Saccharomyces cerevisiae S288C: one gene and its partners. The gene in region 3 interacts genetically with the main gene of each other region. Each region holds a gene or a part of one and is shown on either strand. Other genes may lie near its edges.

Region 1 (3,750 bases), on a different chromosome or scaffold from region 3:
ATAGTACATCCGATGGGAATGTTACAGTAACAACCGTTAATATACAGGATGTTGAAGTTTCTGGAGAATACTGTTTGAATGCCCAGATTGAAGGTAAGCTGGATATGCCATGTTTTAGCTACATGAAGCTGAGGACACCACTAAAATACGATTTAATTGTGGATGTAGATGAAGATAATGAGGTCAAACAAGTGTCGTTATCATATGACGAGACTAACGATGCTATTACTGCTACAGTCAGATATCCAGAAGCGGGACCTACTGCACCAGTCACCAAATTAAAGAAGAAAACCAAAACTTATGCTGATAAAAAAGCTAGTAAGAATAAGGATGGAAGCACTGCACAATTCGAAGAAGATGAAGAGGTTAAGGAGGTGTCTTGGTTTCAAAAGAACTGGAAAATGTTACTTTTAGGCCTATTGATTTACAATTTTGTTGCGGGCTCAGCAAAGAAGCAACAACAAGGAGGTGCCGGAGCTGATCAAAAGACTGAGTAAATAAAGTATTGTGATTTTTTAAATTTTTAAGTGTCGTTACTTTTATCTCTTTCCCGAAAATATTTGAATACATAAAATTTTTAAATAAATGTTTTTATTTGTTCACATGTCGTGAATGACAGGTACTAGTTATCAAAAATGAAGAATATTTCTTCATTCCATTACATTATAGACATGATGATTGCCGTCAAAAGACCGACCAAAGGGGTTGTTTGGCCAATTGGTGCCATGATAGCGGCATTGCCTTTGGAACTCTTAGAGCTAGAGCTGGAAGCGCCAGAACTAGAAACACTAGAGGCAGAAGCAGCAGCCTTGATATCGCCAGAAGTGAACTTCTTTTCCTCGGCCTTAGAAGATGACTTGGAAACCTTGGCAGTAGTTTGGCTTGATTGAGATTTGGAAGTGGACGATAGTTTAACAGATGTGGATGATGCACCATTTTTGCAGACAAAAGATTCACCCTTGATACCCCCTTTCTTTTGCAAAGCTTTCAAAGCATTACAGGAGAAATTGCTTGACTTTGATTCGACATCTGCGCCACCCTTGACAGACTTCAAAGAGTCTAGGTTCAAGGAGGTGAAGTTACCAACAACTTCCAAAGTACCGCCAATGGTTGTTAGGTTGTCGAGACCACCAATTTTTTGTAAACCAGTGTTGTTAGCAACGACAAGAGCACCACCTATGGTTGACAAATTAGAGAACGACAAGTTCTTCAAGTAGTCATTGGAAACGATACTGAAGGTTTGGCCAATGGTGTTTAGCTTAGTGAAATTCAAACTTGAGATGGAGTTGTTGATGAAACCCAATGAAGAGTTAATCTTTTGCAAGTTAGCGAAGGAAACAGAGTGGACATCGGTCAAACTGATATTGTTTGCCCAAACCAAGTCATCGAAGGTGATTTTAGTCTGGTTACCGTTGAACGAAAATTGTAAAGAATCGCTGACTGTTTCAACTGGAGATTTGATCGAGGTTAATTTCTTATTGTTATTGACGTTGAACACGTTAACTTTTTTCAAGGCTGAGAATCCATCGACAGATTGTAACGAAGTGTCGGAAATATAAATGTTGTTAGCAGATTTGATATTTGAAGTAAAACTGGAGATGGCGGGTAGAGTAATCAGTTTTATACTATCAACGCTCTGTAAAGACCCAAATGAAGCAGAAGTCAAGATTGTCAAACTCTGTAGGTTCAAAGAATCTGTGATGGACTCCAAGGAATCAGCAGCGAATGAGGTTAGATTTGTAGCGTTAAATATAGTTAGAGACCCGTTGATTTCTTTAACATTAGCCAAAGCACCAGTCTTCAAACCACCACCAATAGTTAAGTTCCCGACTAACGTATCACAGCGGCTATATTTATCTAAGTCACTCTGAGCTGTGGCCGTGGCATGTGAGCTTATGGTACAGGAAGAGGGTATGCTGGAAGAAGAGGAAGTAGCAGCCAAAGCTGACGTTATTAAGAGCGCAGTTGAAGCGATAAGTGAATGTAATTGCATGATATTTTTATAGCGAGCTTTTTTTTTTTGCTTCTCTCTTGGATTAGATCTATTGCAGCGTGATGTACTGTAAGATTCTATTGAACTATACAGAGCAAGAGTTGAATAGAGAAGAATATGCACGCTATTTATATGTTTATCTGTAGAGCATATATGGGTTTGCTCGTAAGGAACCTTGAGCGGTTGAATGATATTACTTAGAGTTAATGCTATGAAAACCCAGCCCAATCATTCAACATTACTCTTTGTAGTAATAAACTCTGATCAAAGTCCGAATCAGGGCAGTGTGCCTACGCTATTTTTAGAGACTCGTAACACTATTAAAACTAAAAGCCCTCTCTACTAATTAAGATATCCCAGCTTTGTGGTCTTTTTTGGGTTTCTTTGGTTTTTTTCCCTCAAGGATACCGAAAATGCGGGCCTTAATTTAAAGCCTTTTCCGTAAAGAGAAAACAAAAATGAGTTGGCGGGTCAACGGGGAGTGCTATTTTAAACGACTCAAATACATTTGAAAAAGAAAAAAATAGCCGCCCAGCTCCCACGTGCATATCACGTGCATTATAACCCGGTTTTCAGATAATAGAAATCCGCTCACTCTATTTATTTAAACGCTTTCTTTCTTTTTTTTTCTATTTATGGGGCCCACCCGCGGAAGAAAAGAAAAGCGGGCAATTACTAATGCGGGTTCAGTCCAAAGGAGATTTGATGTGGCAATAGCATCATAATGATGGAACCTACGTTAAGTGCGTTAAATAGGGAGAACTGTTTGTCACTTTATTCTTGTATACCGCTCTTAGTAATGATTTGTTTATGCTCTTTATCGTAACCTGCGCTTACAAAACTAACCACGTGCAGCATCGTCTTGTGTTTGTCCGTCCCTTGGGGTTCTTCGGATTTTCTATCTCCTCTTTTTTTTTCCTTACACTTTCATTTTGGGAAAAATTCGATTCTTTTTCTTTGATTTTTTTTTGGTTTCCTCTTGAATCTGTAAAGAACAAGAGCAGAAACTTAAAGTTAAGAAGGACAATAAAGAGCATACTATTACAAAATAATAGGAGCTTTGCGTTTGTTATTTCAGTCGAATAGTACTCCTTTATACTCTCTGCCGCTGACATCTTTGTCCTTTACTGTTTAGGACTTATAGCGACTGTTATTTTTTAGTACACCAAACAAGGAAAAAAGAACAATACAACGTAAATATGAGTAGTCGCAAAAGCACCGCTTCTAGCTTACTGTTACGGCAATATAGAGAACTTACTGATCCTAAGAAAGCTATTCCCTCATTTCATATAGAACTAGAGGATGATTCAAATATTTTCACTTGGAACATAGGTGTTATGGTGCTAAATGAGGATTCCATTTATCATGGAGGGTTTTTCAAAGCTCAAATGAGATTTCCGGAAGACTTTCCCTTTTCTCCACCACAGTTTCGATTTACGCCGGCTATCTACCATCCAAACGTTTACAGGGATGGCAGGCTTTGTATTTCTATTTTACATCAAAGTGGGGATCCTATGACCGACGAACCTGATGCTGAAACGTGGTCCCCCGTGCAGACCGTGGAAAGTGTGTTGATCTCTATAGTATCTCTATTAGAGGACCCCAATATCAACTCGCCAGCAAATGTCGATGCCGCTGTTGATTACAGAAAGAACCCTGAACAATACAAGCAAAGAGTCAAAATGGAAGTGGAAAGATCGAAACAAGATATCCCTAAAGGTTTCATAATGCCCACTTCTGAATCGGCGTACATATCT
Region 2 (6,093 bases), on a different chromosome or scaffold from region 3:
ACAAGTTATGGAAGAGTGTTAAGATTCGTATGAATATTTTATTATTTTGAAATTGCATAAATCAAGGATAGTTGGTAAATGCTAATTCCTTAATTTTTCGGTGAGTGCATTCGCAATTGGCATCATACATTAGGGTTCAATGTGCTTTAATAGATGATGATACTAAATACTTATACTTTGAAATAACTTAATCAATGTAAATTATTGTCTTGATTCATTTATACTTAAATTTTTATATCTCAACATATGATATATCCTTACATTAAGACTTATTCAAGAAACATTTTTCAACGATAATTATTAGTAGGCTAAAAATGGCATAGGAACCAGAAAATAATGTTGAAGAAATGAAGCCATCTGTTTAATATTTGGGGAAAAAAGTGAAGAAATTAACGAATATGTGCATATATATATATATATATATATATATATATATTGCACAGGTGATTTTGATGTAGAATGTAGCCTTTTCGAAAGAGTAATTTGGTTTTATCTACAGAGTTCCGAAACATTGTTAAGTGCCTGTTCTTATATAATTAAACTGTACTTTCTGTAAAAGTCAATTTGTGGCTGGCGCATCCACGGTATACCAATGGTTCCGTGTAATTCGATATTGACTAAGAACCAAAAAGAAATGCTTTAATCCTTGTATTGTCCAAATCCCCCACCACCAGGGGTTTTAATGATGAATCGATCACCGGGTTGAGCGTAAATCGTATTTTTACCGCCGACATTGATTAATGCGCCTGTGCTATGTCTTACCCATAAATTCTCACCTCTACTACCGTCTTGTCCTCCCTTTATACCATGAGGGCCAATGACACGACGTTCTGATAATATAGATGCTGTTACAGCCTTCCGAAATTGAACATCCCTTACTACGCCATTTCCGCCAGTATATTTACCTTTGCCTCCTGAACCTCTTCTGATCGAGAACTCTTTCAACAGAACGGGGTATCTCCTTTCAAATACCTCAGTATCTGTCATTCTTGTATTGGTCATATTCGTGTGTACAGCGTCTGAGCCATTCCAACCACTTCCTCTCCATGAATCTGCACCAGCCCCCGAGCCGCCACATATGGTTTCATAATATCCAAAGCCTTTGATCTGCTTATCGGTTTTGTTACCAGAATTTCCTCCAGTTCCAAATGTAAAGTTGTTACAGTCACCTTGAGAATCTGCCATGACGTTAAATGTTTTTAAGATTACATCTGTCACTCTTTGGGAAGTTAATACATTGCCTCCGACAACAGCAGCACCGGATCGGGGGCTCAAGAGGGAACCAGCAGGAATTTTTATTGTTAAGGGTTTTAAACAACCTTGATTTAAAGGAATATCTTCGCCTACTAGACACCGTAGACAATAAAGAATCGCAGAATTAGTAATAGCCTCTGGTGCATTTAAATTACCATAAACTTGGGGAGAAGTGCCATCGAAATTAAAAATATACTCCTCTTTTTCAGGTCTTATGATAACTTGTAGTTTAATTAAGCTTCCATCATCTAAGCGATCTTCGCCAGAAAACTTCGTTGTGCCAAAATGTTCAACCATTTTTGCAAGCATTTTTTTTATGGATTCAGATGCATTTGTCTGAATTGCAGCCATGTATTTCAATATTGTAGCCAGATCATATTCCTTAGTTAATGACCCAATTAACTGTATCCCTTTTGTGTTAGCTGCGACTTGCGCTTTTAAATCGCTTATGTTATCACTAAATCTTCTTGAACCTGAGCAGCCTGGGTATTTGCCTGGATCTTCTACGAAAAGCTTGTAAATTAATTCTTCCTGGAAAATTCCCTCTTTGACAACCAATTCGGAATAAATTGCGGTTCCTTCTTCGTACAATTCTTTGGAATTTGGAGGCACTGAACCGGGTAGAATACCTCCAATATCTGCATGATGGGCTCTTGAAGCCACATAAAATATCAATTCGCCAGTTGAAGAGAAAGAAGGAGTTATTACTGTTATGTCTGGTAAATGAGTACCACCAATATCCGGATGGTTTGTGATTAAAACATCACCAGGCTTTAATTTGCCTTCCCATAACTTCGCCTGTGCTGATATGCAGGTTGACATTGATCCTAAGTGAACAGGTACATGAGGAGCGTTAGCGACTAAGTTTCCTTTAGAGTCGAATAGTGCACATGAAAAATCTAATCTCTCTTTGACGTTAGTTGAAACAGAAGTTTTCCTCAATTGAGTACCCATCTGGAGGGCGATATCCATAAACCTATGACTGAAAATAGACAATAAGATTGGATCTATATCAAGTTCATATCCGCTTTTAGATAATGTCTTCGCAGCCTTTTGGTTGATCTTGATAAATATATGAGAGTTTAAAATTGTTGCTTGGCTGTTTGGTAAAATAATATTTGTTTGGGTACCGTCAGCCAATATGGCTGGGCCCTCGATAATTGTTCCGGCAGGAAGATCATCAATTTTGAAGACCGCAGTGTCGACCCATTTGTTGTCAAAATATGCTTTCTGGGTAAAACTAGCATCCTTTGACACGTCGGCTTTCTTGAAATGGGAAATTTCAATCAATTGCTCATCAACCGTTTTTTCTTTTCTAACGCCTGATTTCCCAATTGCTCTTATCCTTATATCATCAATTATAATTCGTTTGTCATCGAATGAGAATCCGAACTCTTTTTTATGAGCTTCAGAGAACCATTCCCTAAAATTCCATTGGTCATCATATTTTTGTAATATCATCAAACTGGTTTCAGTACCTTCATATCTGAGATTTAAATATCTTTCCAAGACTATGTCCTCCCGAGAAAACGACTGAGATAAAAGGTTTTTGATTGAATTTTTAGAAAGTTCTAAGAATCTTTTTTTCACTTTCAAGATGGTCTCTGGCTCACCCAAGATAAAAGAGCAAGGCTCTTGGTTTTCTTCAATAACATCTGCTAAGAAAATGCCATAAGCGGACAAGATAGAAGAATATCTATGAATTAAAACAGTGTCAATGCCCAATGAATCTGCAACCGCTATGGCGTGTTGCCCGCCAGCCCCGCCAAAGGAAACTAACCGATGCTGAGATACTACATGTCCTTTTGCTTCTGTAATGGCCCTCACAGGTCTTGCCATGCATTCGTTAGCTACTTTGATAAATCCATAGGCAACCTCTTCCATGGTTAGATTTGAATTCAGATCCTTATTGATGACATCTGTTAATTCTCTGAATTTCAAAGTAGTGGTTTCTAAGTCAAGTGATTCATCCTCATTGGGCCCAAAAATTTTGGGGAAGAACTCAGGAACCAAACGTCCTAAAAAGAGGTTGGCGTCTGTAATGGTCAAAGGCCCGCCCTTTCTGTAGGCTGCAGGGCCTGGATCAGCAGCTGCTGAATCAGGGCCTACTCTGAATAACCCGTTTTTCCATGACAAAATAGAACTTCCTCCAGCAGCAACAGTATGGATGTCAAGTTGAGGAGATTGTATGATGATCCCTGCGGTAACAGTTTCAAAAACATGTTCTAACCTCCCATCGCCGTACCTACTGACATCAGTAGATGTTCCTCCCATGTCAAAGCCTATTAAGGGTATGTTATTATTTTTATCATAGCATGTACTAGAATAACCTATTACGCCACCTGCAGGACCAGATAAAATAGATTTCAAACCGGAAAATTTTCCCCCATCCACTAAACCACCATCAGACTGCATGAATTGAATGTGGGTATCTTCTGCGTGGCTCAAACCTGCAGAAATGCTATTCAAGTACTTTTTAATTACCGGAGTAAGGTAGGCATCTGCGACAGAACTGTGAGCCCTCGGTAAAAATTTTATCATTGGAGAGACTTCAGATGATAATGAAACATGAGAAAACCCAATCTCCCTGGCAATATTACCAACAATTCGCTCATGGTCTGGAAAAGTGTATGAGTGTAAAAATGCTATCGCAATAGACTTGATTCCGCTAGCATAAAGCACTTTCAGAATAGATCTTACGCTTGATTCATCTGGCTTCTTTATGACCCTTACCATTTCGCCACTATTACCTTCCAGGATACCTTCTTGTTCATTAGGAGACGATTTGGTAAAATAAGGGTCTTCCGAGAAATCTTCTAAAGTAACTCTCTCATCTATTTCAACTACAGTGTCATATAATGGCACTACCTTTTTTATATTTAAGTTGAAGATATCTGGCCTGGTTTGGTCTCCAATCAGCAATGAATCCTTAAAGCCTTTCGTAGTAATGAAGGCACAACGTTCACCATTTCTTTCTAGAGCGCAGTTTGTAGCTAGGGTTGTCCCCATTCTTAAACTTCTCACATTAGAGATGTCTAGAGGAATACCGCGAGGAATTGTCTTGTGTTCAAGCACCTCCAAGAGACGTCTTATGCCTTCAAGGGGAGCATCTGGATAGTTTTTGGGATCCACCGACAAGAGCTTGATGACAGTATCATGTTCTTGTTTACCTGTACCAATATTCCCCACACAATCAGTGAAAGTTCCACCCTTATCGATGGCAATTCTTATGTTTCCTTTCTGCATTGTATACCAAGAAGTTATATTTAGGTTTTCAATGCTCAAAATTATTACTGTTTAAGTTCAGTTCTTAGTTTTTGGCATTCTTTCTTCAACACCACGTAACATTTGATCTTATCTTTCTTTTCAGTGGTAATGTTATGGCGATCGTGCTCAATCGGAAAAGCACCTGAGGCAAACAAAACAATTGTTGAAGTATTCATGCAAATAATACTGAATAGAGCGGAGTACGCTTGTTCTTAATTCCAGAGATTGGTAAAGTGTTTATCATTGCTACCCTCTAGAAATAAAAATTAATTATTTAGGTAAAAAGTAGTACTGAGGTTTCATATCTGTAGACTGATGGAGTAAAAAAACATTGAAAAGACTATAAAGAAATTATAAGTAGATACACAATTGCTTAACCTTTCATGTAAGCATCTAATTCAGCGTCAAGAGCTTCGACAGAAGTAGGAGTGTTATTCTTCTCACGGCCCTTGTTCTTTTTGGAGACTCTGTTAGGCTTTTGGCGATAATGGCTCCCTGGCCTGCCTCTTCCGTGTTCTTGAGCCGTCTGTTTGCGACGGTTGTGGGCATTCATTCTAGAATGCTTTCTCTGTGGTTGGTAAATCTCCACTTCAATTTTTGCATTATGTAACTCATGTCCATTATAACGCTCGACAATCTTTTCCAAAACTTCTGGGTCTTCAAATTCGTAAATACATGTACGATCCTCTTTATTGTCAAAAATTTTCGAAAATATTGGCGAGCCAAACTCTTTAATCATATCATCGAGGGTGTAGTCAGAAACGTCTAGTGGGATTTTGGATATTCTAATTCTCTTAGGCAAAGGAGGCTCTTCCCTCTCTCTATAAAGGCGATCTTTCGACCTTGATGCAGCATCCGAAGGCGCAAATCCCAGTCTAGGTCCTAATTCATTTCTTAAATCCCTTCTGCGGTATCTCGTTACCTTATGATTAGATGAGCTGTCTGTGTGACTATTTCCAATAATTTCGTCAAATGCTTTGTCCATTGCAAAATGCAGTATTGAATCGTCTAATGGAAAAGGTACTAGACGCTTATCGTTTCAGTTTTTTAGTCTTTTCCATCTATTTATCAGTCTGTACTCAAAATAACCTTATTGTATGTAACCTTTTTCATTTCACGATGATAATTTCTTGCCGAGTTAGACAGAAAATGACCGTGATAGTTTGTCATAATTTTCAATAGGGCAGAAAGAATTTTAAAGATTATTTGCTATCTAGACATTATGTGTTTTATATGATTGCTGTAAAAGTATTAGGAGAGATCGTCGAAAATATCCTTAAACCTTGGCACGTTCCCATAGCTCCTTTTGATGTTTGCAAGCCAAGTTACGGAGTTGGCAAATTGTCTTAATGTAGGTTCAACAGTAGCCAAATTTCCGTAAGCTACGGTTAGCCTATATGCGGCTTCTTCGCATTCTTGATACTCTTCCAATGGCCCATACTTGGTGTTGATGGCGTCAGCTACGATAGGCAAAAGTTCTAAATCAGAGTTCCCTTTCGTGACGAGAGCTGAATAGTTGAAAATTAGTGTGGAAACTGCAATAGCCAAATTCTGTGACTGTTTAGCAGATGC
Region 3 (3,589 bases):
CAGAAAGTAGCTTTTGTTGCAGCGGAGGACATTTGAAATATTTTTAGGAGTGGTTTGTGATAGAATTTCTGATTATTAAGCAATGAAATTAGTGGGAGCTAGTTTTCCAGATGTGGTCAGATATGTAGTCTTGGCAGGTGTATTGAGAGTTCGATAAGCTAAACATATAATGTTTTTTTTATTTCAAATCTGCAAAAAGGGTATGTAGAAGAGTCGATTACCTTGTATTCTTTGCAGTATTTAAACAATTAGATGTTCGAGTGTATCTATGTGTTATAGTTCTGAAGAAAAAAAAAAAAAAAAAAAAGAAAAAGAAACGACGAGTCAAGAAAAGAAAAGAAAAAGGAGGGGCATGAAAAAAGAAATTGACCGAATAATCTAATGAACGTTGGATAGTTAAGTGTCTTACGAGAGAGCCTTATATATCATGTCATCGCCTTTTTTTTCCGCGAGAGGTGATAAGTGAAATCGCAACTATTTACTCATCATGAGGTAATGCGATGCGATGATGAGTCAAACACCCTTCCACGGGAAGCGCCAGCCGGCGCCCTCGGTAAAGCCTGCACTTAACGGCCCCTCGCTGTTTCTTGTACTTAGCGTCACGCGCTATGGAAATATGCGGTGCACAGGTGTTTTTATAGGGGGGTGATGGATTACATCATACACGACGGCCGGGAACACAGCTGAAAATAACTGTGAATGCGGCAGTGGCACCCACTACGAGAAGCAGACACCACAGTCCACGCTTACGTAGAAGCTGCCGAGTAAATGGGTGCTCTATGCGGGTAAGACGGCGCCTACCGCCGAACACCGCAAGTATCATTGGCACGTGATCGGTATCACTAGAAGCATCTCCTTCGTCATTGCCAGCGTTTTTGTGTCTGTGGAGAAGTCTCTGTGTGACGCCAAACCAGGAATACACAATGTCCACTTGATACATGCCACACACAATGCAGTAGCATCCCAGTGTAAATGGCACGACCGTAACGACACGGATTGCGCGACTATACGCCAGGAAGATTAGAACATATCCGATCCAAAAGCCGATGCCTAGCCAGAGCAAACCAAAGCCAATACGACTGATTGACGTGTGATTGGAGAATGGCGAGCGAGAAATGTGCGTCTGGCCTCGAGAGCGATTGCTTTTTTCGTTGGTGACGCCCACTGAGTGGAATCTCCAATCAGATATTTCATCGTGGATGTTGTGTAGTGCGACGCGGCTTAGAAATTTTGGGAAACAATCCATTTCTAGGAATTGGTAAGTTAGGTTTTTTAGGTCGTCAAAAATCTCAATGTCGTACTTTCGCTCGATTTGTACGCTTTCTATTATGCGGTTCCGCGTTTCCATGGGGATGTTGCTCAGGTACCGTTCGCTTTGTTCGGGCGATACTAAATAGGTGTTGCAGAGACCAACTGCGCTGTGCAGCAGTTGTTTTGTAGTTATCTGCGGTTTTCCGTCTTGTTGGGAGCGCCTTTTCATTATCTCGTCGACGATCAGCGCTACGTCTTCGTTTCTCAGGGCTTCTTGACCGATACCCGATTGGTGCTTCCAATCACCCAGCAATTCGTTTAATTTTGGTGAAAAGGGCACGTCTGGGCCGCTATTTTCTAAGAGTTTATCAGGTGCTTCCGGGTCTAGGTGCCCTTCTTCTATCAGTGCGTTCAGCAAGTCAAATGTAGCCGTAGATGTACTTCCATTCTGCTGTTGTTCTTGTGGAAAGTTGATTAATGATTTTCTTACCAACTCTATGTAGTTTTTGCAAAGTCGTGTATGTGTCATAAGGTCAACCCAAAAGTCCAGATAGTTGATGGCATATGGGAATTGTGAAAGAAATGTATAAAAAGTCCAGAGATCAACTGGCTGCGATGTCCTCTGTATTAACACTTCATACAATGTTGGCAATCGTTCACGCTGGATCATCTCGAAATTTTGCATACTGCTCACTTTGCTGAGCTCTTCCTTCATGATGAATGGGACGCTCTTGAACTTTCTTTTTGGCAGAAATTGTTAGAGGTCGTTGTGCACAATGAATTTCCCGTATGTGTTTTATTGATATTTTCGTTTTGCCCGCATTCTCGAAACACGAATATTTTTCCTCGAATGGCGGCGGGCGGCGAAGTTACATAACCAGCATTGCTCTGTATTAATGTATGCTGGGTTTTCTTTAAAGTGACCCAAGAGTTTGACACAACGTTGAAGCGTATCGCCAATTTTTTTTGGATTATATATACGTATTAATGTCTTTTTATCGTATTTATGCATCGTAGCATCCAATGGTGCAAGTAGTGAAGAAATTGAGCAAATTCTCCTGCACCAAGTTGAGAACAGTTTCTGGATATCTTGACGAGATTTCATTCGAAACTTTGGTCAGACTCATATCTTGAATAACCACACTTAAACAATCAAGTAAACTTATGGAAAATTCCGTATACCAACGGTGGTTCCAGCAGCATATCTTCACGCAAAGGTCGATAATGCTATTGTCTAGCTCTCTTATGCGTGAGCTTACTATTTCAGGGACCATGTCATGCGAATTAGGTGAGTTTATAAAATTTTTGACCCGTTGGCGTTCGTTTATACAATATTCCAGCAGTTTCCTCGCGCACCTTGATGAAAATCTCTGCGATAAACCGTTCTGGAAGGCCTTGGCGGCCTCAGGGAAATGGCCCAGTCGACGTGCACAAAGGCCAAATAACTCCCATTCGAAAGTCAACTTATTGTGGTTGTTATTCTGTGCATCCATGTACAGTTGTTCGGTTTGCCATAATGTATACATCTTCAGGTCTTCATATAAAAGCATGAAGAGGTTGTCTAACCATCGTTCACACAGCCGTTTAGCCCTCAGAGGCTGTTCTTCTTGTTTGTTAACGTCCTTTGGTAACGAAGATGATGATTTTTGGTACTCTTCTTCCATAACGAAAATGTTTGATCTGTACTTTAACAGATTTTCCCAGCCGGTGATCTGCACAATTTCTGTCAATAATCGGTATGCCAATTGGAAAGTAGATTTCAAGTTCGACGCAGCTAAATTGACCAGCATTGGATCCGCAGAGCGGTGTTCATTCTGAACGTCTTGTGGATTCAACGACGTCACTTCATCCAGTACAACGTCAATTGGCAATGGCAAATGAAGACTATTATTCGAAGGCAACGGAGCTACTCTTTTCAGTACGTATTTTTCCTTTAATGGAGACATAGGGCATGAATTCAGTATCAGTAAGGCATTTTCAATATCATTTAGCTTTACATACACCTTGGATAAAAGATACCAAGGTCTAAATTCACTGGGAGAACAATTGACTGCCTCTTGCGCTATGTTTTGCGCCAAGCTGTAATCCTGCCTTTTGTCTATCAAAAATTGCGCTTGTAAGCACAGTAATTCAGATTTATAATCCATGCGGTTATTAGTGTTGTTTATTATTTTATCCTGCGAAAGCATATCGTATGTGAGCTTTATTGCGTCTAATTCTTGATCACACACCAAAAAGATCTTGATTAGTATTATGATCGCCTCAGGGTTGTCGGTAGCCAGATTCTTCAACATTATTTCCGCCCTGCTAACATTACGAGTCAGCTTAACTATCTCAA
Region 4 (3,318 bases), on a different chromosome or scaffold from region 3:
TCAAATACTGGATTCGAAGCGAAGAGTATCAGGACAAATTAGAAGAATATAAGACGAAAATTTCGCAAGAGACGCAAAAGGTTGATTTGGAAGATTTACCGTTACCTGCTACTAGGGCATTCATTCATCCAAGTTCAGTCTTATTTTCAACCAATTCAGTAAACTTGGAAGACGCTAAGTTACTCTCTGAGGTGGATGGTCCAATATCCCGTCAATCCAAAATACCAACCGTTGTAAAATACCCATTTGTTTTGTTTACCACGTCTCAAGTTACTAATAAGTTGTATTTGAGGGACTTAACCCCAACTACTACATTATCATTACTATTATTCGGAGGGGCAATCTCTTATGACATTGGAGGTACTATTCATTCACCGGGCATCGTTGTCGACAACTGGCTCCCAATTAGAACCTGGTGTAAGAATGGTGTTTTAATCAAGGAACTGAGAACACAACTTGATGAGGCCATAAGGAAAAAGTTAGAAAGTCCCGATTATGCTAAAAAATCTCAAATTGATAATTCTGGTGCTGATAAAACTCTAAAAATTGTTGAAAAAATTATAGCTTCCGAACAATAGTAATCAGTTCCTACTGTAGTCCCTGTATAATAATTATCATCTTCATTTTCGAAAAGGAATTTTTTTAACATATAGAAGTGTCAAAGTATAAAACACTAACAAAAATCTAAGAGATTATTGCGACTGCGTGTTTTTCTCTTTGCTGAATCAGGGCTAGAATCCCGTAAACTACATAGCACATTGTCTTTGCCATATTTTAAAAATTTTGTGGCGCCGTCAAAATAAAAAAAAAATACTGAAGGATGCGAGGTTCGAACTCGCGCGGACAACCGTCCAACAGATCTTAAGTCTGCCGCCTTAGACCACTCGGCCAACCCTCCGTCGATAATACAACAACAAGGAAATACAGGATACGAACACCATCCAGTTTAACTTGATTAATCTTTACGCATGCATATTGCTACATCTTTTTTATTCTGCAATATACATCTGTTTATATCTCATTAATGTTGGTAAGCCTCTGAAAAATTTATCAAATACTAGTACAATTGTTTACCAACATCATTTTCGTTGCTAGAAAATTACTATACACCGTTAAGAAAAGACATAAATCATGAGACTAATAGAACAACACTAGGGATTAGCCAATTTAATGGGAGCTGAAATGCAGGGATTAATTATGCAATTACAAAATGAATGGTATCGTTTGAAATGAAAGAAGAAACACTAATATTATAACATAGAAATATCGATTTCTTCCTGCGAATTCCCATGTCCTCGTTGAGAACTTCTAATATGTTTTGTATGCCTAATATTATAGCTTTACAAAAAAATAGAATCTCAACAATTATCCCACAATTCACTCATGTCATGCTGCCTCTCGCGTATTTTTTCTTGAAACCGATGCTAGTTTAGTTGTCTTTCGGCATCAGCTCTAATTTTTTCAAGAATAGTATCTACAGAGTCAAATTTCATCATTCGGAGAATTCCGATGAATCGGCATCGTCAGAGAAGCTATATAAGAAGAGATAAACACATTTGAAAGATAGGATATACTTTGAAAGTGTTCTGGTGACCACTATATCACTTAAGTAATACCTAACAAAGCAATGGTACAAGAAATCGATTTAGGTTTGACATGTGATATGCATGTTCATGTAAGAGAGGGTGCGATGTGTGAACTAGTCACCCCCAAGATTAGAGATGGTGGGGTTTCAATTGCTTACATCATGCCAAATTTACAACCTCCAATTACCACACTAGATAGAGTGATTGAATACAAAAAGACACTGCAGAAACTAGCTCCTAAAACTACCTTCTTAATGAGTTTTTATCTTTCAAAAGACTTAACTCCAGATTTAATTCATGAAGCTGCCCAACAACATGCCATTCGTGGAGTAAAGTGTTATCCAGCGGGAGTAACAACAAATTCGGCTGCTGGGGTGGATCCAAATGACTTCAGCGCATTTTACCCAATTTTCAAGGCTATGCAAGAAGAGAACCTGGTATTAAATTTGCATGGGGAAAAACCTTCTGTCCATGATGGAGACAAAGAACCTATTCATGTATTGAATGCAGAGGAAGCCTTTTTGCCAGCCTTGAAAAAATTGCATAATGATTTCCCAAACCTGAAAATAATTCTGGAACACTGCACTAGCGAGTCGGCAATAAAGACAATCGAGGATATAAATAAGAACGTGAAGAAAGCCACTGACGTAAAGGTTGCTGCCACATTAACGGCTCATCACTTATTTTTAACAATTGATGATTGGGCCGGAAATCCGGTAAATTTTTGCAAACCTGTTGCGAAACTTCCAAATGACAAAAAGGCTCTAGTCAAAGCTGCTGTATCAGGGAAACCATATTTTTTCTTTGGATCTGATTCAGCACCTCATCCTGTACAAAATAAGGCCAATTACGAGGGTGTTTGCGCAGGAGTTTACTCACAATCTTTTGCGATCCCTTATATCGCCCAAGTTTTTGAAGAGCAAAATGCCTTGGAGAACTTAAAGGGCTTTGTTTCCGACTTCGGAATTTCCTTTTATGAGGTTAAAGATAGCGAAGTGGCTTCTTCAGATAAGGCAATATTATTCAAAAAAGAACAAGTTATCCCTCAGGTTATCAGCGATGGCAAAGACATAAGCATCATCCCATTTAAAGCAGGTGATAAACTAAGTTGGTCGGTGAGATGGGAACCTCGTTAATATGCAACAATATGTAGGCTCATTTGAGAGTATAGACCATATATACATATTTATGGGAAAAATAAACTTACCTTCCAATAGAAGTTATAGATGCCATCATCATGCCTATTGTTATGGTCCGTATCTCTTTACAGAAGTTCACAGCCAAATGCGTTGATATGGTATATTTTTTCTCTTCAGTTTTTTATCAAAAAATGCCACAACCTTGATTTAATCTTGCATACTAACATCCACATCTTGAGCTTTTTGCTTTTCGTCATTGCTTTCTTCCTCATCACTTTCACTACTATTATTCAGCACTCCAATCATCTTATTGTAAATTTCTTTATCTTTCGCACTCAATTCATTTAAGGGCAAATTACCTGAGTTCTTCTCTTGCAGCCAAAAGAAGTACCTTTCGTTGGATGAAAAAACTAAAGCAAATATTCTGCCACTTTTACTGGATTTTATTGGAACCCACATGGTCTCTCCAGGAATTAAAATCAAAGAAATAGGATCAAGTTCCCTCCCGACCGGCTTTTCCGTTGGACGCCACTCGAAATCCCAAAATCCCAATTCTTCCTCTTCATTTGGTTTGATCTCGATTTCACCCTGAA

The links.
Region 1: mutations in RAX1 (region 3) and PST1 together harm fitness more than expected from each alone (negative genetic interaction), as found in Saccharomyces cerevisiae (one large-scale study listed by BioGRID).
Region 2: mutations in RAX1 (region 3) and OXP1 together harm fitness more than expected from each alone (negative genetic interaction), as found in Saccharomyces cerevisiae (one large-scale study listed by BioGRID).
Region 4: mutations in RAX1 (region 3) and URA4 together harm fitness more than expected from each alone (negative genetic interaction), as found in Saccharomyces cerevisiae (one large-scale study listed by BioGRID).

Annotation. Positions count from the first base shown.
Region 1 is NC_001136.10:561,770-565,519, reverse strand, and holds PST1 (Pst1p), read right to left. Parts: upstream 1,994-3,750; coding exon 659-1,993; downstream 1-658. Other genes in the region: EMC10 (Emc10p), read left to right, coding at 1-497; SCF E2 ubiquitin-protein ligase catalytic subunit CDC34, read left to right, coding at 3,193-3,750. UniProt on the Saccharomyces cerevisiae protein: Has a partially redundant function to ECM33 in cell wall integrity. May be involved in a repair mechanism activated in response to cell wall damage.
Region 2 is NC_001143.9:26,188-32,280, forward strand, and holds OXP1 (5-oxoprolinase), read right to left. Parts: upstream 4,501-6,093; coding exon 640-4,500; downstream 1-639. Other genes in the region: YRA2 (Yra2p), read right to left, coding at 4,895-5,506; DOA1 (Doa1p), read right to left, coding at 5,773-6,093. UniProt on the Saccharomyces cerevisiae protein: Catalyzes the cleavage of 5-oxo-L-proline to form L-glutamate coupled to the hydrolysis of ATP to ADP and inorganic phosphate.
Region 3 is NC_001147.6:879,342-882,930, reverse strand, and holds RAX1 (Rax1p), read right to left. Parts: upstream 1,967-3,589; coding exon 659-1,966; downstream 1-658. Other genes in the region: carbamoyl-phosphate synthase (glutamine-hydrolyzing) CPA1, read right to left, coding at 1-32; YOR302W (uncharacterized protein), read right to left, coding at 89-166; BUD7 (exomer complex subunit), read right to left, coding at 2,256-3,589. UniProt on the Saccharomyces cerevisiae protein: Required for the establishment of the bipolar budding pattern. Involved in selecting bud sites at both the distal and proximal poles of daughter cells as well as near previously used division sites on mother cells.
Region 4 is NC_001144.5:962,158-965,475, forward strand, and holds URA4 (dihydroorotase), read left to right. Parts: upstream 1-1,627; coding exon 1,628-2,722; downstream 2,723-3,318. Other genes in the region: YLR419W (RNA helicase), read left to right, coding at 1-578; proteasome regulatory particle lid subunit RPN13, read right to left, coding at 2,933-3,318. UniProt on the Saccharomyces cerevisiae protein: Catalyzes the conversion of ureidosuccinic acid (USA) to dihydroorotate, the third step of the de novo pyrimidine biosynthetic pathway.